Linked DNA regions of Arabidopsis thaliana. The protein of the gene in region 1 interacts with the protein of each later gene in a pairwise test. Each region holds a gene or a part of one and is shown in the gene's direction. Other genes may lie near its edges. The genes, in order: HOS3-1, AT5G27370, AT3G62400 and AT1G68380.

The links.
Region 2: the proteins of HOS3-1 (region 1) and AT5G27370 interact in a protein complementation assay, tested with the Arabidopsis thaliana proteins (one large-scale study listed by BioGRID).
Region 3: the proteins of HOS3-1 (region 1) and AT3G62400 interact in a protein complementation assay, tested with the Arabidopsis thaliana proteins (one large-scale study listed by BioGRID).
Region 4: the proteins of HOS3-1 (region 1) and AT1G68380 interact in a protein complementation assay, tested with the Arabidopsis thaliana proteins (one large-scale study listed by BioGRID).

What each region holds. Positions count from the first base shown.
Region 1 is NC_003075.7:17,346,161-17,352,542, forward strand, and holds HOS3-1 (GNS1/SUR4 membrane protein family), read left to right. Parts: upstream 1-3,057; 5' UTR 3,058-3,350; coding exon 3,351-4,125; coding exon of another isoform or gene 4,126-4,220; exon of another isoform or gene 4,221-4,467; intron 4,468-4,621; coding exon 4,622-4,773; 3' UTR 4,774-5,003; downstream 5,004-6,382. Other genes in the region: AT4G36820 (calcium uniporter (DUF607)), read left to right, coding at 729-1,286, 1,376-1,834; AT4G36840 (Galactose oxidase/kelch repeat superfamily protein), read left to right, coding at 6,006-6,382. UniProt on the Arabidopsis thaliana protein: Probable very long-chain fatty acid (VLCFA) elongase that controls VLCFA composition and functions to inhibit abscisic acid (ABA)-mediated stress responses, including regulation of stomatal aperture, maintenance of primary root growth and inhibition of germination.
Region 2 is NC_003076.8:9,663,730-9,668,386, forward strand, and holds AT5G27370 (inactive Serine/Threonine-kinase, putative (DUF679)), read left to right. Parts: upstream 1-3,581; coding exon 3,582-4,157; downstream 4,158-4,657. Other genes in the region: GSH2 (glutathione synthetase 2), read right to left, coding at 4,482-4,605. UniProt on the Arabidopsis thaliana protein: Involved in membrane remodeling.
Region 3 is NC_003074.8:23,086,619-23,092,038, forward strand, and holds AT3G62400 (cytochrome C oxidase subunit), read left to right. Parts: upstream 1-2,977; 5' UTR 2,978-3,085; intron 3,086-3,665; 5' UTR 3,666-3,676; coding exon of another isoform or gene 3,677-3,794; coding exon 3,795-4,055; 3' UTR 4,056-4,203; downstream 4,204-5,420. Other genes in the region: TBL6 (TRICHOME BIREFRINGENCE-LIKE 6), read right to left, coding at 657-966, 1,047-1,205, 1,281-1,471, 1,558-1,750, 1,950-2,524; CP12-2 (CP12 domain-containing protein 2), read left to right, coding at 4,388-4,783; BZIP53 (basic region/leucine zipper motif 53), read right to left, coding at 5,226-5,420. UniProt on the Arabidopsis thaliana protein: This protein is one of the nuclear-coded polypeptide chains of cytochrome c oxidase, the terminal oxidase in mitochondrial electron transport.
Region 4 is NC_003070.9:25,634,554-25,640,503, reverse strand, and holds AT1G68380 (Core-2/I-branching beta-1,6-N-acetylglucosaminyltransferase family protein), read left to right. Parts: upstream 1-3,041; 5' UTR 3,042-3,110; coding exon 3,111-3,650; intron 3,651-3,932; coding exon 3,933-4,571; 3' UTR 4,572-4,666; downstream 4,667-5,950.

The sequences.
Region 1 (6,382 bases):
TATTTTTTCAACATGTTTATCCGGTGATGCTATTTTGAAAAACAAATTTGTAGATAAAACAGAAAATGTGGCGACACGTCCGTGTGTTTAAATTTACTGAATTACCTAACCAGACACAGTAGTTACATCCACATTACATCACATTTGTTATCTCTTTATTAGGTGTGCAAAGGATAAAAACGAAAAATGTGGCAACACGTCATTGTTTCAAATATTTACTAAGTTTTCCTTATATAGACATTATTACATCTCAAAAAATCATCTCTTCAACATTACCATTTACTACTAGATGCAAGAGATAATAACAAGATAAAACAGAAAATGTGGCGACACGTTTTTGCCTTTCTTTTTAATTCTGTTGTGTAATTTACTCATAGTCAAATAAGTTATCAAGATATTATATCTTTTTAAAATTTAATCGGACGGTTATTGAGGCATCGAAAGCTATCACCAACATAAATCTATCCACGTGGACGGTAGTCACCTATCAATATTCACGAAAAGGCAGCGTTTATTGAATTTCTCGTGATATATCTGCTGACGTGTATAAGGCCCCACAAGATTTATGTTAAACGTAAAATTAAAACTGTAACAGAGAACTTTGGTTACCTATATAAAGCTCGCTCTTGCTGTTTCATTTTTTCAAGTAGTAACTGAAATCGAATTCATTTTCTTCTCTTCCTTTCTGGGATTTCGATTTTTCGTATTTTTTTTTTGTTCTGTTCGTCATGGTGATGATGAAGAAGCTTTTGTCGAACCGTTTGTTCAATATGTCAAAAACGGCGTCGCAAAGTCTCATGAACTGTCGTACTTCGTCTTCTTCTTCGTTAGCCATGCGAACTAGGGTTCCTAAAGATATAGGAGAAGCCACGATTGATCCAGAGCCTGGAGATTTGACGATTTCTCAGAGGTTTTTGAATAAATTCTCCATGAATGGGATTGATACGACTTCGAAGATGTCTATTGGGGAGAGTCTGATGGAGAAGCTTAAAGAAATGGATATGAACAAGGATCGGATTCGATTAGACGGACTTTCTCATCCGAAGGAGGAGACGTTAGGGCTTACTGTGCAAGACGTGAAGAAGTTGCTAAGAGCAGCAGAGATCGAAGTTATTAAAACGAAGCTGATGGAGACAGGAAAAATCTGGATTCGTTACTCAGATTTCTTAGGTGTTTGTAGTGATTCTTCTTTGGATCCTTCTCAAGGAGCTTTGATCGCTAAGATGCTTGATGATTCAGGAAACGTTATCGTTATGGGAAACTCTGTTTGTTTAAGACCTCATCAGGTAACTTCTTCCTCCTCTTTGCTTTTTTTTACCATTTGAATTCTTTTTTGTCTATGCAATTCTCTGATAAGGTCTTGTGTGTTGATCAGTTAACCAAATCCATAGAGGGGCTTCTTCCTTTATCACAAATCCATAACCCGAATGACCCAAGAAGAAAGGAGCTAAATGAGCTTGAAGCTATAAAGACGGTCATTGACCAAAAAGCACATTCTTTGGTGAGAAGAGAGCTTTGGGCTGGTTTGGGTTACTTGATCATCCAAACCGCAGGGTTTATGAGGCTAACGTTTTGGGACCTGACATGGGATGTTATGGAACCGATCTGTTTCTATGTCTCATCGGTATATTTCATGGCGGGTTACACATTTTTCCTCAAGACATCGAGAGAGCCTTCCTTTCAAGGTTTTTACCAAAGCAGGTTTGAGGCTAAACAAAGGAAACTGATGCAATCTGAGGATTTTGATGTTGGGAGGTATGATGAGCTGAAAAAGCTGTTTAATCCCAAGCCTTCAGGTGCTGTTCCCAAGATTCTTGGATCTCTACAGAATTGATCATTGGTGTCTCGTTGTCCTACTAACCTGAGAAAGATATATTGACCCCCAAAATTGTGTCAAACTATAATTTTTGAATATTTCATAATCTTTCTAGGAAAATAGGAAAAAGACAAAAAAAAAAAAAAAAAGTTCTATTAGTGCGGCTTATGTAATTTGGAAGAGTAGATAAAAGAATCGATTGTGATGTAGATTTATAAATTTCAAGTCTGACTTTCTGAATGTTAAATGTTACAATACTTCCATGCATATGCATATGAGATATCATTACTTTAAACATGTTATCTATACCAAAAACTCAACAAAACCTTGTCATTTGAGGCCTAAATCTTAGTTGAAGCCAATTCCGAAATTAGTTTTAGTTTTAACTTAAATGATTTTTAGTTTATAAATTAAACAAGTATAACATATGCTTAATGATTGTTTCGGCGGGCTTACATAAATGATTGATAGAACATGTTATGCGTGGGAGTAGTCGTTGTAAGTTCACCGTCCAAGTCTCCTTTTAATTAATTCACGAGAAATCAACTACGACCGTGTAAATAAAATACTTAGTTTGGTAGGTCAAGAATCACTTCTGGAAAATGAGACTAAAGAAAAGAGTCACTTGTGGAAAATACTATCAAGTGGACAAAACCAAATTCCTCATAGTGAAAAAGAGATATATTACACTGTTCCTGCCGCATTTGTTTGGTACGTATCTAATATTTTTGTTTACTCACGTGGTACTATAACGCTTATTGCCAATATAACGATTAGGACAATTTGATTTCTACTAATTTTATTTGATACGTATCAAATATCTTCTGTCTTAGCTGGTCATCAAATTGTGTGAAATAGTAATTTAATACTAACTCGTTACTGATTACTGATGTAGATTCATCTTCGTAACGATCGCCCGATCCATATTCCAATATTTGCATTTTGTTTTACGTAATGCACTCTTTCTCATCTGTAGCTCCTTGAGTAAAACTTAAAACTTAACCATGAAGGCATCTGTAAATTGACGCTTGTCTGAATTTCTCAACACCAAACTCTCTTTCGTGTCTAGAGGTTCTTTGGTTTTCCCACCTGCTTTTCGATTATGGTAATGGTCAACTTGACGCGTACCAAGTTTTCTGATCTTTTTGAAGATATTTCAAATATGGTTTGCTATTTCGATTTTCGACAATAACAGTAAAACCCCATTAAGACCATAAATCTTAAAAATTTTCATAACCGTTTTACAATATTCATTTATGTAGCCAAATTAAATTTGTCACGTAAATGTGACAATTAATATTGGTCCACATCATTTTGCTTTCATGACAAGACCGGCCATTTAGTGACCTACTGTATGTTCTACAACAATTATTGGAAAATGGAAATTAAATATCCCAACAAAAAAAATAAGAGCAGAAACAGAGATTCACTTTGCGAAAAAGTCGCACGCACACATATAAAAGACAGGACTAGAGGAACAGAGGAAGAAGAAGAGTCACTGTGATCACCACCACCGTACGATCAAATTCAAACTATGTCAACGGCTCTGATTAACTCTATTACCTACTTCCTCTCCGAACATCCATACATCGTCGGATTCCGTTGGAGTAACAGCCAATCATGGGGCTCCACGTGGTCTTTCCTCTTCACATCAATCTCCCTCTATATCGCCGTCTCATCCTCCCTCCACATCCTCCTCTCCGCCGTACGCCGAAGTAACCGTTCCGTTCCTTTAGGTCACATCCCCGAAATCCACAGCCTTCTCATGTCGATCCTCTCCGCCACCATTTTCGCCGGAATCCTCCTCTCCGCTGCCGCAGAGATCCGTGACACACGGTGGTTATGGCGGCGGAGCAAAACCGCCACTCCTCTCCAATGGCTTCTCTGTTTCCCTCTCGGGACTCGTCCCTCTGGTCGTGTCTTCTTTTGGTCATACGTGTTTTACCTCACGCGCTTTCTCCACATGTTCCGTACGATTTTCGCCGTTTTACGTAGCCGGAGGCTCGCCGTGTCTCAGCTCTTTTGTAACTCCGTCATGGCCTTCACGTCTTTCCTCTGGCTAGAATTCTCGCAGTCGTACCAGATTCTAGCGATTCTATCGACGACTCTGGTTTACTCGGTGGTTTACGGTTATAGATTCTGGACCGGGTTTGGTTTACCCGGTTCGGCTTTCCCTTCGTTTGTGGTGAATTGTCAGTTGGTTCTCGTGGGCTGTAATCTCGTGTCTCACGCTGGGGTTCTTACGATGCACCTCTTTAAAGGTGGATGCAATGGGATTGGCGCGTGGGGTTTAAACTCGGTTCTCAACGGTGCGATTTTGTTGCTTTTTCTTAACTTTTATGTGAGAATGCATTCGCCAATGCGACGCCATATTAATAAAATGAATAGCCAACGTAACGCTTAAGAATTAATTGATCCTTTTTACTAGTTTTTACTTTTTACTCAATAAAACAAATCTAATCTTCTTTTTTGTCTTTCACTTTTAAAACTGAAGTATAATCTAATTTGTTTTCTAATAACTAAAATGTTCTGCGTCTAGGTCTGTACATCTTCTCAAACCGGGACAATTTTTTTTTTATAAACCATCGATCTCTGACTTTGCATGAGATATTTTACATTTGAACTATTGGCTCTTAGTTAACGCAATCTAGTTCTTGTTTTTCATTCTTTTAAATCTAGTTTTGTGTTTTTTAAGTGGAAAGAAATTATGTCGATTATTTATAAATATATCTTTAAAAATATTTATTTATTTCATAAGAGGTTTTTGATCCAAAGACTCAAACTTGGGGTAACTTTATGACGTAGATATACCACAATACCCACCAAAATGTGGTGATAGAGGAAACAAAGGTTTACATGGTGGATCATGGACGAGGATGATCAAAAGCTTATACTCTTTACCAAGTGAAAATGCATTTTGGATAAGAGGAAAAATTATTAAAAGCGAGAAAACATAATATGGTTTGAGACTGATGTGTTAGATTGTAAGAGCTGCAATTGTATCTCTCTACTTGGGGACACACTTTTGATTTTCTATTTACCGTTTGAATGCCGTATAAGGAAATGTACAGGTCAAACGAATATGGTCGAGTGTTCGCCTTAGACCATTGTATAAGGAAATGAACTATGTCGACTATATTTAATATTTGGGCCTAGTATAATATTACTACACTTAATCAAAGTTAAGGCATTTATAACTGTAGAACAAGATGGGCCTAAGGCCACGGTTTTCTACTTAACTAGGCACACATATGACATATCCCATAGTAAAAAAGCTTACATAATAAGGCCCACATCTGAAATCTGATTCTCCACTGTAAAAATAAAATCCTCTTAAGCTCTCGATCGATGGTTCTGCAATCTCACAAACCAGAAACAAAGAGTCCAGGCTCTTGCAACCAACCGCGGAACTTGTTGAAAGGCGACGAGGAGAGAGAATTTCAAATCTCTCCAGATCAAAGTGAAACACAAGTACAACAAGTAACCGACAAAGTGAAGCGCAAGTACTTGTTTCTTTCCTTTTCCTTTAATATTTGTTAATTTGAGAAAAGTAAAAACCATAAAATATATATAGTTTCTGTCCGAATCGGCCTATCTTCACAAAATCTCGATTCCAATCAAGAATTTATGGCAAGAAAGGTCGATCAATCAATCAGATGATTATGGATCTAGAGATCTCTAAATTTGTGTTGTTGTGAATTGAGAATGCGAGAGCATTCGACGATGTACAATTACGCCCCCGAAGTGCCACCGCAAAGTAAAAGGAAGAAGACGATGAATGAGGCGTCTCCGTCGTGGTCTGGATTACCGGATTCTGTGGCTGTGAGTTGCATGGCTCGCGTCTCGAGATTGGACCAAACAGCCTTATCTCTCGCTCCAAGAAATACCGCTCTCTCGTAACATCCCCTGAGCTCTGCAGCACGCGATCGCTGATTGGTTGCACTGAGCCATCTTTCTTCGTCTGCTTGCGCATCTTACCTGATCCAACCCCTCGCTGGTTCGTCCTTACGGGTAGTCGTCGACTGAGGCCGGTCCCATCGCACCCCTATCAGGCTCCGGAATCATCTTCTTTTGTGGTAGTGAATTGGGGGATCTATGTTATGTAATCGGTGGAATCATAAACGGCAATCCCACTTCCGATGTCTTGTTCCTCAACTGTTTTTCTCAGACATGGCACCGCGTCCCGTCTATGAAGATGGCTCGTGCTTCCGCATCGGCAAGCCTCATAGACGGGAAGATCTACGTTTTTGGAGGGTGCCCAGAGGACGCTGATTCCTCAAACTGGGCGGAGGTATTCGATCCAGTTTACCAAACTTGGGGTATATTTAATACGCCGAAGATGGCCCATAGTATCAACCAAAGTGTGGTGATAGAGGAGAAGAAGGTTTACGCCGTGGATGAGGAGGACCAAAGCTTTAGCTTCTTGCCAAGTGAAGGTAGAATCTGGAAAAGCGGAAAAAAAGATTCTAAGGTAGGAAGTAGACACGATTGGTGTGTCATTGGGAAATTACTATACTGTCGTGCTACTCGCGGTAGAATACTATGGTGCCAACCAGATGAGTTGGA
Region 2 (4,657 bases), on another chromosome or scaffold:
CAATATCTTCTGTTCTCTAGTGTAAAATAAGTGCCATGTTTGTTTTAACGTTTTAAACATGTCTCTCTTTTTCCTTTTGTAAATTACCTTTTTGTTGATAAAATTAAAATAACATTTCAACAAAAATAAATAAAAAAAATCATTTCCAACCAAAAATAGACTTCACCATTTTATTTTAGACTGACTTCTTACCACTATCCCAACACTAAATGGATCAGATTCTGAATATTATAACTAAGTGAAATTACAATATTTTTTTACGAAAAGTATTATAAACATATTGTCCATAGTCTTTTTGTGTCCGAAACCATAATTAGTTGTTTGTTTGTTTTTCGGACGGAAAGAAAAATTAGTTTTTAGAGATATTGTTAGGATTCAAACCCATGACTTGGTCATCTTTAAACTTAAAAGATCTCAAACTTAATAGATATTTGGGGATTTGAACAAACAAAAAAAGAAGATATTTGGGGATGTATCCATATCATCACCAAAATAAAGGATTATTAAGAGGAAGTATACTCTTCGATAAACCTAATCTCAAATGAAACTGAACTGAACCTAACAAGAGATTACTAAATCGAAATCTAAGACTGAGTTTGATCATAGAAATGAGATATTTACTCTAAAGATGTTGAGTTTGGTATTATATCTCATAATCATTGGAATTGTTTCTTGGCTAATAGAGTTTGAGAAACAATTCCGATGATTAACAAATATGATGGCATAATTAAGTGTTACATATATCATATATGATATAGTGAGGCTTGTTAATTCTCGGTAATCATCAAGAAGGATTGTAGATAATAAATTATTATTATTAATGAAACGTTACTTTGCTCCCGTTTCTCAAAGAAAATGACCACTGTTCGCTGTTTCTTTTAATGTTTACGAGATCCTTACCCGCACATACGTGCGGAATTTCATATTTTTGGAATTTTATATTTTTAGTTCAATGTAGATTTTTTTGTTATTTTATGATATATATTATAGTATAATGTATTAGATATCAGAACTCGCATATACGTGCAAAATATGAAAAAAAGTAATAGATTTTTAAAATATATATAATATTTTGTTATAAGTAAACTTTGTAATAGTATAGATATTATAAAGGTAAGAATAACAACCAAAATTCAATTGTGTTCGTGTATAATTATATTTTAAAATCTGGACTCACACGGGGAAATAACCCAAACTAAAACCAAATTTATATCCTATTTTACACCAGTAATCAAACTGTTATAATGTTTTGATTAGTTTAGAAAATTAAAACGTATATTTGACGTATATTTCTTGGAACGGAAAACCCATAATGTGATGTATCTATCATAAATTCTTCGTTCCATAACCCGTCTGTATATGTGAAATAAAAATACTACCAACGCCCATCACAAATAGAATTTGTGTCACAAAATACGTACATGCAGGGTTAATTTATTTTATATAGTGCTCATAACCCAAACTCATACCAGTTGGATATTTAATTTGATGTCCAGTTTGGTTTCAAATTTCTTTATATAGTGCTTCCGTTTCTTTTCATGTCGTTTGTGTCTCATAATTCCTATTTTCATTTCATTCCATTGAAAATACGTTCCAAAATTCTTATTTGCTTACCTTTAAATATCATGTTATATATGACTGAGTTTTGCGGATTAACATATAGGATGTTAAAGTTTACAAATATATCATAAATTAAAACACAAAAATACTCTTTCTTGATTTTTTTTCAAATTCAAAAATATGAATAGCATTATAACAAATAATTTTGTAAAAATTTATATTTTAACAAATGTAATAATGTTTATTTCCTTACCTACATGTTTAATATTCTTCTTTCCCTTGTTTAATCATAATTAATTGGATTTTTGGAATATAATTAAAATTTTGAAATACCCCTACAAAAGCAATTTATTTTGCTGGATAATTTGTTCTGAATGAAAAATGTATAATTAGTTTATATTATTTCAAAAGTTTGTGCACTAATATATTATAGATTTATTTGAAAAAAGATCCGGTTGAAAAATAGAAAAAAGAAAATCCAAAATATTTCAAAATTAGTATGTAAAATTTATTGTTTAGATATTTCTAAATGTAAGGCATAATGATAATTATTTTAAATTAATTATTTTAGTTTAATTCATAGTAAATATTAATATTTGTAACATCTTATCTCGTTTTTAAAAATTTTAAAATAAATTTTCGTTTTATATTTCAAAATACTTAACCCAAAATTCTAAATTGAATTTATTTATCTATCACAAATTATGATTTTTTTATTCATGATATCAAGCAAGTCTTATGATTTTTTAAAATTTTAAAATAAAACTTAACTTCCAAAATGTTAGTTTAATAATATTGTATAATTTGATATCAAATCTAAGTTTTTCAATTTTTATTGGTTAACAAATTTTAAGAAATATATTTTATTTTTTCGTCTATAATTAATAGGAAAGAGAAAGTGAGTTTAATTTTGGGAAACTAATAATTACTTAAAAGAATATTACCAATTTTTATATTTAAATATATTAATTTTGTGATTACTATTGTATTCTTAATAAATTTATTTAAAAACACTAACAATCAATGGCATTCTATGTAATATTTTACCCTTCATAAGGTTGTTTATTTTCAATGATTTCCAATTAATAGTATAGATGCATCTCGCAACTGGATTTTTTTTTTTTTTTTTTTGTAAAGGATCTTCATGAAATTTCATCAGATGAAAATTTTACGGTTCGCTTAATGAGAAACGGTTCGATCTTTATGTGTGCAAGGTTAGTAACATCTTACATTTTCATACATATTTTCATTTCGTCATATTATTTATATAAAACAAGAATACAAGATATATATTTTAAATGAAAGACCATTAGACGTTACATGTATTTTGTGTTATAAAAATTGACGTATTTTTGTAAGACCGAGTCACCAAAATGAGTTAGGTACAACCGTGCAAGATATCGCTTAATGGACTCAATTTCATAGAACATGCACATCTCCAATTATTTACGTTTTAGCTCAAATATTATGTTTTTTTTTTCCTAAGATTTGTTTTTTCTTTCCCTGGCAGATTTGATTAATCAAATAATGCATGTGTGTGTGAACACGTAAAAAAATCGTGTCCCAACTTGTTTATGGCCATGCAAAAATAACGAATCGAATTTTGTAAAAAATAGCACTTTCATAAAAGTATTTTGACACTTTAAGATCTAAACACGAAATAAGAGCGTACCTCCACTTAATATCTTGATGCACCATAATTTCATTAACGACTAGCCAAAGTTATAAACCACAAACTAAGTTCCAATATATAAACTAACTTCTAACAAAAAAGGGTTATCCAAATGTGTATATCTATAGTTCTTTATTTTCTTTTGACAAAATGTGGAAATATATAGTAACAAAACTAAATATATATTACATATTCGGACACCAAATAAAACTCGACATCTTTAAGAAATGTATATAAAGACGCATCAAACATATCCTCACGCATGCATGCATTACGTATAGAAGAACATACAAAACACTCTTTCTCCACATAACATACAAACTTTCCTCACTTCCGATCAAATTACGAAATGGAGGCGTCGTTCATTAGATCGCTACCGTCTGCCGGAAACTTCGCCAACCTATTGCCGACCGGGACCGCCCTCATATTCGAAACCCTACTACCGTCTTTCTCCAATGGCGGCGAGTGCAACAACAAACCCGTCAATAAACTCCTCACCATTACTCTCATCTCCTTTTGCGCCGCGGCTTGCTTCTTCTCCTCCTTCACCGACTCATATGTAGGCCAAGATGGCCGCATTTACTACGGAATTGCCACCTCTAACGGTCTCCACATCCTCAACGACTATCCAGACGAAGGTTATGATCCAGAGTCCGGCTTAACGGCTGATAAGAGAGAGAGATATAAGCTCAGTTTTGTAGATTTCGTGCATGCTTTCGTGTCGGTTATCGTGTTCTTAGCGTTAGCCGTAGAGAGCTCGGATTTTCGGAGGTGTTTGCTCCCGGAGGACGATGAAAACAGTTGGGGTGGTCATTTTGTACTTATGATCAAGTACTTTGCTGTTATGGTGTTGACAATGGCAAGCTTCTTCTTTGCTATCTTTCCCTCAAAACGGAGAGGCATCGGAATTTCAGACATTCGTTGATTCATAACATTTATTTGTGTATGTACATATATGTGCCTATGGTCTAAATATGTTGCTATGGTAATAATCTTTATACCCCAAATTCCATGATTGATCTTATCTTATTCAATTCATGATCTTTATAAACGAGTAATCATCTCACACGGTCTAAAAATAACAATAAGCAATGTAGGCTTTGCGGTCCTGTGGAAAGAATTGTAAAGAGCTTTGCCTAGTCTTATTGATCTTCATGATTAATACACAAATCTTTAACAAGCAAGAAGAGAAGAAGAAGGAATAAACCAGAAGAAAAACTGATCAAGATGGTTGTGAATGTTATCCATCTCAAATCAGATATATGCTGTCCAAGACTCCAAAACCAGCTGCAACGCCGCCTTCATCTGATGATGCGATCTTCGTGCGCATTAGATAACCACTCTGCTCGTTTACTATAACTTCGTCTTTGCTCCTACATATTTCATTTAATCAAAGATTATGGCACAAAATTAAGTTGAGAATTA
Region 3 (5,420 bases), on another chromosome or scaffold:
CTTGAGACTGAAGCAACCGCTGAACATCCTCAAAAGATATCAAAGGTGGCAGAGACGTAACGGGTTTCTTAAATGAACCACAAATGGGAAACAAGCATTGACTGTCAGCAAAAACCCTAGTGTACTGCCACAAACCCACGCTTGATGGTTCCCTGAGAAACCCAACTTTCCCGGAGACAAATCTCTAAATACACAAAGAGGGATGAAAATATCAACTCCATTCCCAGAGGAGGTCGCTGACGCTTATATTATGTGCACGTTGAGGAGTTAATCGCTAAGAATAAGATGAAGAATATCAACTCCATTCCTTGAGGAGGTCTTTAAGACTATTTGTTTACTAATTATTCTAAATGGTCGTATATTCTTTTTTTGACCATCAGATTTGTTTACATACACAATTGTAGACAATGAACCAAGAGATGGTCCAAGTAACTTTATTTAGTTATTTTCCTAAACAATGAACCAAGAGATTGACATTCACGGGACCAGCGTGAGTCACAGGAAAACGAAAATTTGGTTTTGTATTTTCAGTTCAGTTGTCATAGTGGGTTTTCCAAAATGGTTTTGGTTTGGTTGGTTAAATCGGATCGAGCAATGCCTACATTAAACAAACTTTTGAACACGTAACTGGAGCTTTGATTAGTTTGTAACTGTATTTATCGTTTATGGAGCAAATGGAGGTAAAGGAAGTGGTTCCAAGTATCAGGAACACCAGGGAGACACCAATGGCTGCAATCTTGGACAGCTCTTGAACGCCGGTTTTCGGGTTTTGTTCCGTAAATAGAAGGATGGGCGTCAATTCTGTACTGAGATAAACCGCTAACGTTCAAGAGGGTTACCGGTGTTCTCATTTGCTTCAGTACGTCCTCAACAATGGACTTTTTGCTCGAGTAACTTGGTTTGAAGGTTTGGTTCAACGGCATGTTGGCTTCTCTGCAATGACCTCCTGAGTTCCATTCTCCTCCACTGTCCAAAGATGCAATAAAGAGATGATAATGGAGACATATGATCGGTCTATAAAACCACACGAGAGACAGGACAATGACCTGAAATGAGAAGGTGCAGCGCTTCTAAAGAAAACGCGAGTTTTCTTCGGATCGACATTTTTGTCAACCCATGATGACCAAGTCTGCAAAGCTTTCTTAAAAGCGGTTGATACATCGAGTTTGGGATGAATCAGGTCTCCTTCTTGGTAGTAGTTGACCCTGCAAACCCAAACTAATCAATCAATATCTTGGTTCCATTCTTCTTCTGAAGTTTTAAAGTGAAAAAGTACTGACCCTGATTTGGTTTTGTAATGAGACCACCAATGAGCTGTATTGAACACTAAGATATTAGCACCTTTCCATCTGGAAGAGGTTCGATCCATAGCATCGATTCTAAGTGTTTCTCTTCGCTTCTTTCCTATTCTTGCTCTACCCTCACGAACCAAGAAATGAGTAACATAGAATTCCACAGTGCATTTATAATCCTAGTCAAGTACACAAACATGACATTAACACAACCACACGCCTGAAATACACTTAATGGTCCATTAAGATTAAAGTCATATTGTACCACGAAACGGAAGCTATAATTCCCTTTCTCTTTGGTGATTCTTCGGTTGTGCGTTTCGTATACTCTCTTGGGATCTTTAACAGCTTGAAACAACAAACAAAGCATAGATTCCCATTGGTTCCTATTAATTGAATCTCCAACGAACACTAGCCTCTTGCCTCTAATCATTTCCAGCATCTTTGTAGCATTGAACCTAAACTCACACATACCACAATTTCCAATTCAGGACCATGAATTGCATTCCTACTTATTCAGAGAGATTAAGTGCTCAGTGGAACTATGAATCCCACTTATCATCATCAGTCACTATCACCAACCACTACTACTTCAATAGAGAGATCTTCTTAAAGGCCTACGAGGAAAACAACAAAATTAGAAAGAAGAAATTAAACCTGGGAGCATGACAATCCTGAGGCTCCCATCTCCAATTCATGTAATTAAGATCCAATCTTCCATTGCTTTGACAACCAAATCCTTCATCGATAAAAGGACAAGACGCATTTGTGTACAATGGATAATCACTATCGTAAACCCACTTCCCTTTCGTAACATCACATTCTTCGATTCTCTTCTCTGTCTTCTTATCTTCACCATTGTTGCTCGGAAGTTCAATCACTTTAATCGAAGTTAAATTAGCAATTTCCCTAACTTCCTTAACCAAACTCTCGCCGCTAATCTTCTGCTCAAAAACAGAAATTTTTGAAGACCCGGAAGTGTTTTCGGGTGAATTGAAATGGGTAGAGATCAGAATCGGACTTGCTTGAGGAGAAACTGAAGAATCGGAAATGGCGGCAATAGGGCTTAAATCGATCTGGAAGTTAGCTTCTGGTGTTGGGTAAAGAGAAGAGTTAGATTTGAGTAAGGAAGAGGAGAAGAAAGTGAAGAAAACAATGGCGGAAGAGATTATTGTGATGATGAATGCTAAGACTCTTGTGGACTTCACAGAGAAACTTCTTTGTCTCTCCATCTTCTATCTCTTTATTTATTTTTTCTCTGTAACTGTTATAAGTTAGTTAAGAAAAAACAGTTTCATAATTATCTGTAATCAGAGAAATTTGAAATCGAAAAATGGAACTGTTTGAGAAAAGGATTGAAATTTTGGAGTCGACAAAGGTGGTTGAATTAGTGGGGTATAGAGGAGAGATTCGGTGAAGAAATGATAATGACGTTCTTACAAACTCGTGAGCTCATGAATTTTACAATAATTAACGGAACAGAGGGAAAGATAATGATTATTTAAAAAAGTTCAGGATTAGGAAATTAGTTTAGTGTGTTGACAGATTGGATTTGGCATTATTAACGTGGTGGGACACACTCGGGGAACACGAGCAGCGAATGGTTTACTTTTTTAAAAAGCAAATTCCATAAAATGCCCATTGAAGAAATAAGAGATCAGGCCCATGTTTAAGGCCCAATAAGACACAAATGGAGTAGAGAAGTGATTATCTGCTTACGCAACTTCTTCAATCACCCACCATTTCGTTTTCGTCGTGAGCTTCTGTCTCGTTCATCTACACAATCTGACTCGGTAAAGTCCATATTCTTCCCTTGATGATAATTGTTGTTTCCTTTATGATTTTGTGGTGATTTTCGTTATAGATAGGTGGCGGATTGTGAAGTTACGATTAATTTTTATCAGATTCGAATCCATTTCTCGTTTTTTTTCCCGTGTAGATCGGTGTGCTTAAGATCGGAATTTCTCGTTTAAATCTTCCGTTGATTTAGATTTGATGCTCTTAGTGTTGTGATGCTTTGAAACGTTAATCCTTTTCTTCGGGAGAAATGCCAATTTTATTTTCAGTATCTGGATCCTGTGGATTAGGGTTCTTGTATCATTTTGGGAATAAATTCAAAGCCTTTGATATCTTCCTTTGAATAGAGACGTAGTTAAGAGGTTAGACAGAAAATGGATCGAAATTGTACATGTTTATGTGTATATATAGACTCCAAGTGCAAACCAGTAGAAATTAAGAGATCAGGTAGATTAGTGTGTGTGTGTGTATAGATGTTTTATTGGTTGTCAATAAAGTTTTCAGCTTTAGGAATCGTGAGCATTGTGAAAGTATCAATTATGTTAGTATTGACTCTATGATTAAAATGTGTGCTAGGTTGAGAAGAAATGGCAGGACACAAGGTTGCGCATGCCACATTGAAAGGCCCGAGTGTTGTCAAGGAATTGATTATTGGTTTGACGCTTGGTTTAGCTGCTGGTGGTCTCTGGAAGATGCACCATTGGAATGAGCAGAGGAAAACTAGAACTTTCTATGATTTGCTTGAGAGAGGTGAGATCGGTGTTGTCGCCTCTGAAGAGTGAATGGGAATGCCTCTCTCTCACTCTCAATGTTGTTGGCTCGATTTTTCTGTTTTTATGGTTTCTTGAGATCTCAGATAAGTTACCTAAGAAAGTTGGTTGCTTGAGAAATAAACAACCACTCAGACATCAAAATTGGATATTTGTTAACACATTGTTTTCCGGAGATACAGTGGTTGAAACTTGAGACATCTGTCTTGACTTTTCCTTAAACAGTGTGTGATCATTTTATTATACTTACCAGCTTATTTTTTCTCATCTTTTTTGGATAAAATACGCAACAGGCACTTGTATCTTAGAAAACGGCTTGGATGGCTGCAAATTTTCAACATCGTACTGCTTCATAAACGATATCAAATACGTGGAACTTAATTGTTGGTTAATAGAGGATAAGAAATGGGGTTCACAGAATTAAATTCACGCACACTTCATATATCTTGTTCCCTCCCAATTATCTGAACTATCTTCTTTTATCAAAAACTATATTCACAGGCTGCCGTGTACCTTCTCCATCCAAAGATGGCAACTATAGCTACTGGTCTTAACATTGCAACCCAGCGTGTCTTCGTCACCAGCGAGAATCGGCCAGTTTGTCTCGCCGGTCCGGTCCATTTGAACAATTCGTGGAATCTTGGGTCAAGAACAACTAACCGGATGATGAAACTTCAGCCGATTAAAGCAGCACCGGAAGGAGGGATATCGGACGTAGTGGAGAAAAGCATTAAGGAAGCTCAGGAGACTTGTGCGGGCGATCCTGTGAGTGGAGAGTGTGTAGCTGCGTGGGACGAGGTTGAAGAACTTAGCGCAGCAGCTAGCCATGCTAGAGACAAGAAGAAGGCTGATGGTTCGGACCCTTTGGAGGAATACTGCAAAGACAATCCTGAGACCAACGAGTGCCGTACTTACGACAACTGAAGCGATCAAGATCCTGTTCCGGATTCATACGTATACGACAAATCTTTGTTCCGGTCCATTTGGTAATGTCAGGTTATATAAATCATGTCTTTGAATCTGAATTAGCTCTAAAAACATTTGTAATTTGTAGTTCCATAAACGAATACAAAAGCCAAAATTTCATAACAGGTAATGCGCAGCGAATAATAAGAAAGCTTGAATTCAATAAGAAACACATTAGACACCAATTACATGAGACACAAGACTAGAGGACTGAGGCTACAAAACCATACAAAGACACGAACAAATTGAAATTGCATAAAGATTGCGTTGTCCATTGACAACACAAGACTCAATTCACCAATGACACACTAATTGTTACAACAAGGACAGTAAGTAAAACAGACCAAAGACTCGAACTCAATGCTTCATTTTTGATCCTTCAGATATGAATCATCCATCTTCAGCAATCAAACATATCAGCAGAAGCTCTGATTGGTTGCATTGGACAAGGCATCTGCCAAGGGTTCTGCATAGATTCAGGAATCTCAGGAATATCCAAAGCCTGACCACTAATTTCTTCAACCATCTCAAGCACAGAGTTCAATGATCTCAACCTATCCGTCAACTCCGAAGCCTGTGCCCTCAAGACATTGTT
Region 4 (5,950 bases), on another chromosome or scaffold:
AACACAAATGTAGAATTCAATCTAACATATGTGAATGAAAATTAATTTCAGATCTAAGCTAAAACCTCTATCAATTTCACATAACGAGAACTAGCAACAAGGTTCTTCACTAAGTGAATCAACCATCAAAAAACTTATAAACCGTTTATGATGAACACATAAAATAACCAGATTTTCTGAAAAGATACAACCCAAATATAATCATGAATCAAATTCACAGAACATGAACTAAGCAACGAGTTCCATCAACTAGTGATTCGACCATTACTATCAAACGATTCGAAGTCCACTACGAGGCTTTAATCTCCAATTCAAGAGAATAATCTCGAATATGAAATTGGAAAAGCAAGACAAAGAATCAAAGAGCAAGTAATGAGATTAATTTTGCAACAAACAGCAAAAACATAAAACGAAAACCAAACTGTAAATCCAATTCAAGCATTCAACGAGTCATGTAACTAAATCAGCCAGATAGGACAGATTCTCAAATTGATGGTCTGAAATTTTTTTCCTTCAAGTCAGATCAAAGCACACGCGAAAAATTAAAGAAGGTGAATCTCAATCTCTCTTTCTCATAAAAGCTGATGATTTGTTGAAAAGGAAAGAAAGAAAAAGGTATAAATATATTTTTTTGGCTTGAGTTTTGTTTATTTTTTGAAAGAATAGGTGGATGAGAGAGATAAAGCGATATATGGTTAGAGGGTAAATTGGTCAAATTATACATTCAAAGTGCCTTCTTTTTAGAAAGTGTCTAACCACGGAAATGTTTTTTAAAAAGTGTTTTACAGTGTAATATTCTCAAAAAAAAAATAAGAGCCCTTTAATATAGATATAATTATTTAAATTTAATTTATATCTGTTTTAAGAAAATAATAACTATACATATATATATATATATATATTATAAAATCGACATTAAAAACGTAGTTGTTACTTTTCTTCTAACCATATTTGTTTAAATATACCATAGCTATTTATATATTTACAAAAAAAAAAAAATCATAAAATGGGTTCCAAACCATTACTTCATTTGGCCAGCCATGGGCTCATACGTTATGTTGTGAAGTTCTCGGAATAACAATAAAATTTCAAATTTTAGAAAATACCACTGTTACTAGCCTACTTTCACCTTGTGGATCATTTTGTTAGCTATACATGATACTATTGTTTGTTTATTTTTTACACTCTAGAATTTGTATCATAGCTAGCAAAATGATCACATATATGTTGTTGTAAAGTTCTCGGAAGCAGCCGTGATGGAAAACGCATATTCTCGTATCACTAGTGAACCCAAATGATCACATATTTGTTGTTGTTTTTAACTCAGCCATCATTACCATGCATGAGTCTCGTCTAACATGACGGTTCTGTAACCCAAATGGAATGGAATGCATTTTTCCTACACTACGTCATGACATTCCCAGGGTTGATGCCACTTGTTTGCACAATTATTGTCTCTTCACCCTACAGCTTTCAACAATGTGCAACTACACGTAAATTTGACCAATCAATTTATTTATCAATATTTATATAGTGCAACAAGTAATTTTCTTTTATTTGAACCAAACAAAAAAGTAATATTCTTTCAGTTTAGAATTCGCAAGGTTGACTTCAACTTAGTTTCATATCAACTATAATTATATTCTGTGTATATAGTTAATGTTTGAATACTCTAATGGCTTTGTATGAATGGCCTGATATAACTGTCCCTCGAAAATCTATTACTTAAGTAGAAAATACATAATATATAAAATCTTCAATTTAATTACATAGGTTAAATCCTTTTCACTCACATAGTCTCATGGATCATTTTTTTTTTTTTGCATCCATGGATCTACAGTTTTGTAAGAAGTAAAAGATAAACCATGAAAAAATCCTATATCTGAGTTACATGAGATTAATTTTCTAACAAAAGCTTTAAGCAAATAATGTTTGTCACTTTCATTTGATAAATAAATAAAAAAATACAAAAAGAGATATTTCGTCTAAGAGAAAACATACGAAACCAATTTCAATAGCTCAACTGGTAAAGACTATTAGACAAAGCATGTAGGTCGCCGTTCGATAAAAAAAATTATTTCCCACGTATGTAATTGTTTCTCCAGTTTACCTCTTGATTTAATGTCTACGCGGTTGAATATATTATCTGTAAGAGTTGGTACCATGTCTATTGCATACTATAAACATCGAGTAAATGAAATTCACATCTTTGTTCACTTAGGTTTTTAATAGCAATCTACACGATCCTGCTTTTATGGCTGCGTCATTTTCATTCTTGTAGATAAAGTCACTCCGGTAGTTATAAAAAAAAACAAATTAGGTTTAACTTGTAGTGCTATATATATATATATATATAAGCTTCATATTGTTTTCATTACGATCTTTTTTTTTATATATACAATGAAATTGTTGCAAGCGTTAAGCAATGTAAACGTGGAGGTTTCAAGGATGTCTTGTGAACGATTACCAGAAAATAATGTATATTATTGACAAGGTATGCAATAAACTTATGAGCAAAAACGAAAGAATGATAAATCATATAGGTATAAGGTATATTAATAAGTAAAAGCAATAAACTTAAACATGCGACCAAGAGATAAAAAAAAGTATATAGCGAAACTACAAGTAAAACATTTAAACCACCATCAATATTATATCCACTTATAACAAAGAAATATGATTTTGGGAAAACGAACTTAAAAAAATATATATTGCATGGACATATAGCGAAATAGTTCATTCAAAGACAAAGATTGGTTAGTCTACTCCTATCAATCTTTTTAAAAAAGTAAATTAATATTGATGTAAGGAAATTTGTAATTTTAGTTTAAAGAATTAATGCTAGTGAAAGAGTAGTAATAAGATGCTACGTATATAACCCAATTGACTTTGCTTGGATCATCAAAAAACTGCCTCAAAATGTTATATTCCATTGCGTGTGTATTTTTGTTTTTACGAGTTAATCACTCACGCCACAAGATCTCCACTTTTACTTGCTCTTCTCCACTTTTTAACCTCATTCCAACTAGGAAGTAAGATCCATGTATCTCTTTTTAACCCTTAAAACATTGGAAACAAGAATTCTCTTACACATGTATCGGTAGTTGGAAATGCCGACCCAAAAGGACCAAAACTCACCATTATCTCAAGTGATAGAGCTTCTCAAGAAACTACTCCACCATTTCCACAATCTCCTTTTGTATTTCTTCATCCTCTGGATCGGCGTGATAGTTGGAATCATTGTTTATCCCTCTCTACAAGGATTATCTTCGCCTTCTTCGTTAACCATCCAAAGTGTCTCCCAACTCTTCTTTGTAACCCCTCCTCCTCCTATTCTTTCTCCTTCATTTCAGGACAATGGGCTTGACATGTTTCTGATACCACTGAAGAACATCATGCACGATATGGAAGATAATGAACTTCTGTGGAGAGCTTCAATGGATCCTAAGATCAGGGATTACCCTTATCCTAGAATCCCGAAGGTTGCTTTCATGTTCTTGACTTGGGGACCTTTACCTTTGGCTCCTCTATGGGAAAGGTTCTTTCGAGGTCATGAAGGTCTTTTCACTATCTACGTTCACACCAATTCGTCTTACGACGAGTTCATGCCGCAAGACTCTGTGTTTTATGGCCGCCGTATTCCAAGCAAGGTCAGCTTCCCAAATTATTAAGAAATTTATTTCGATACATTAATAGGTTTGGAATTAACGTGATAAATAAAATTTATAAATATATTATAAATAATATATATATATATATATATATATATATAACGGATCGAAGTACATGAATACGATATTTTTCCTATCTTTTTTAGTAAATTACATAAAAATATAAGAATATTTGGTATCTTAAAAGAAAACATATTAATTATTACACTATAATACATAAAATAAAATCAATCCAATGTCATTAACTATAAACGTATGCAGAGAGTGGATTGGGGAAACGCAAACATGGTAGAAGCAGAACGAAGGTTATTAGCAAACGCTTTATTAGACATCAACAACGAACGTTTCATTCTTCTCTCCGAATCATGCATCCCTCTCTTCAACTTCTCCACAGTTTACTCTTTCCTCATCGACTCCACTCTAACCCACGTCGACTCCTACGACCTCACAATCGGTCGCGTCCGCTATGACCGCCGCATGTATCCTCACATCCGCATGCACCAATGGCGAAAAGGCTCTCAGTGGTTCGAGCTAGACCGAGCCATGGCCCTCGAGGTAGTCTCTGATACGTTCTACTGGCCAATCTTTAAAGCTTACTCTCGCTGCCCCGACGAGCACTATATCCCGACGCTACTCAACATGAGGCCGAGCCTTGGGTTGCGTAACGCGAATAGGACGCTTACTTGGACTGACTGGAGCAAGCGTAGGGCTCACCCGAGATTGTTTGGTGAGTGGGAGGTTAATGTGGAGTTCTTGGAGTGGCTAAGGATGAAGAGTGTTGGTGATTGTAAGAAAAATGGAGAAAATAAGATGAGACTTTGCTTTCTCTTTGCTCGCAAGTTTTCGTCGACTGCTTTGGATGAGTTACTCCGGTTAGCATCTATCGTCATGTATTTCTGATCACTCTCTTCCCCCTTCGTCCAAAAACAAAGATGCAATCGGTTTAACTACCAAATCTTCTTTAAGTAAGTGAAATATACAGTGTGTGCTTAACAAGTTACTTTCAGTACTAGGGATGTGAGATTAATCAAAGTCCTTGATAAAGTTAGGAACTAGCCTGTCATCAAGTTATAAACAGAAGATAACTTGAGAAACATTGAGAAAACACAAAAGCCTGACCCCCCAATCTCATTTGGTTTAGTCCTCCATTAGCATTTATGAGAAGGTATCCATTCATATTAGCACCTAACTCTGCAGACAATGTATACTCATATGGTAAGAACTTATAGAAGAGAAAAATAGGAAAAGAAAAAAAAGAACAAATTGCTACTAATAGGACTAAAAGTTTTGCCTAGACACCTGAATACTCAAAGAAGAATAAAGTCATGTCAGATATTTAATCTCCTTCTCCCATCTTCTTAAGCGAGATAGAAACTAAGCCACAAATGTTTAACCAAAGAAACACTTGAAAACACTACTACCACCAAGAAATGTGAAGAAGATCTTAATTAAGCAGCTCAATACACATCCATTTTTGGGCAACACTCAAAACGCAATTTATCAAGTTGTAGAAACAGAAACAAAGGCTAAACCACATATAAACAAGACCTTCTCAAGCCAAAAGTCGTAAATGTTCGACAAGAGAAACACTATTAGTAACAGAAATGTGAAGATTTTATCTTAATCAAGCATGTTCTAGTATGAGAAACACCTAAAAAGATAGCACAAAAAGCAAGAACCTAATGAGAAGCACCACCACCAATGGCAAAATTTTCTATACAATTGTTGATTTTTTCCCCATTTACATATTGATTATTCCATTTTGCTATATTTAGTTTTTTTTTTTTTTTTTTTTTATTCATTCAAATTCAATTTTACATATATTTATGTGACCCAAAACATAATTCCAATTCATTTTCTACAAAAATTCAATTTTTGACTTACCATATCACAAATGATATTATTAAAATAATATCAATAATAATATAATCACTCTTATAATAAAACTTCGTAATGGCCACAAAAAAATCAGTAATTTTCGATTTCCTTAAAAAGTCATCGAATTAAATATGAAAAATCAACGAGTTAGTTTGTCCAAAACGAATAAAATAAATTTAATAGTACCTTTTATTTTTTCGGAAACCCTTGTTTCGTTTTTTTTCCTCGATCTTCTTCTTCCCCAATCTCTCTTATTTTGTGAGCTTTTTAGATCCTCCTTTCTTCATCGTTTCTTTTCCGAGGTTTCAAATTCGTTCAATTTCTCGATTGAAGATACCTGAAATCGCGTTATTCTAGGTCCGCCGCTGTTGGATCTGCAAATTCCCCTTCGAATTTGAACA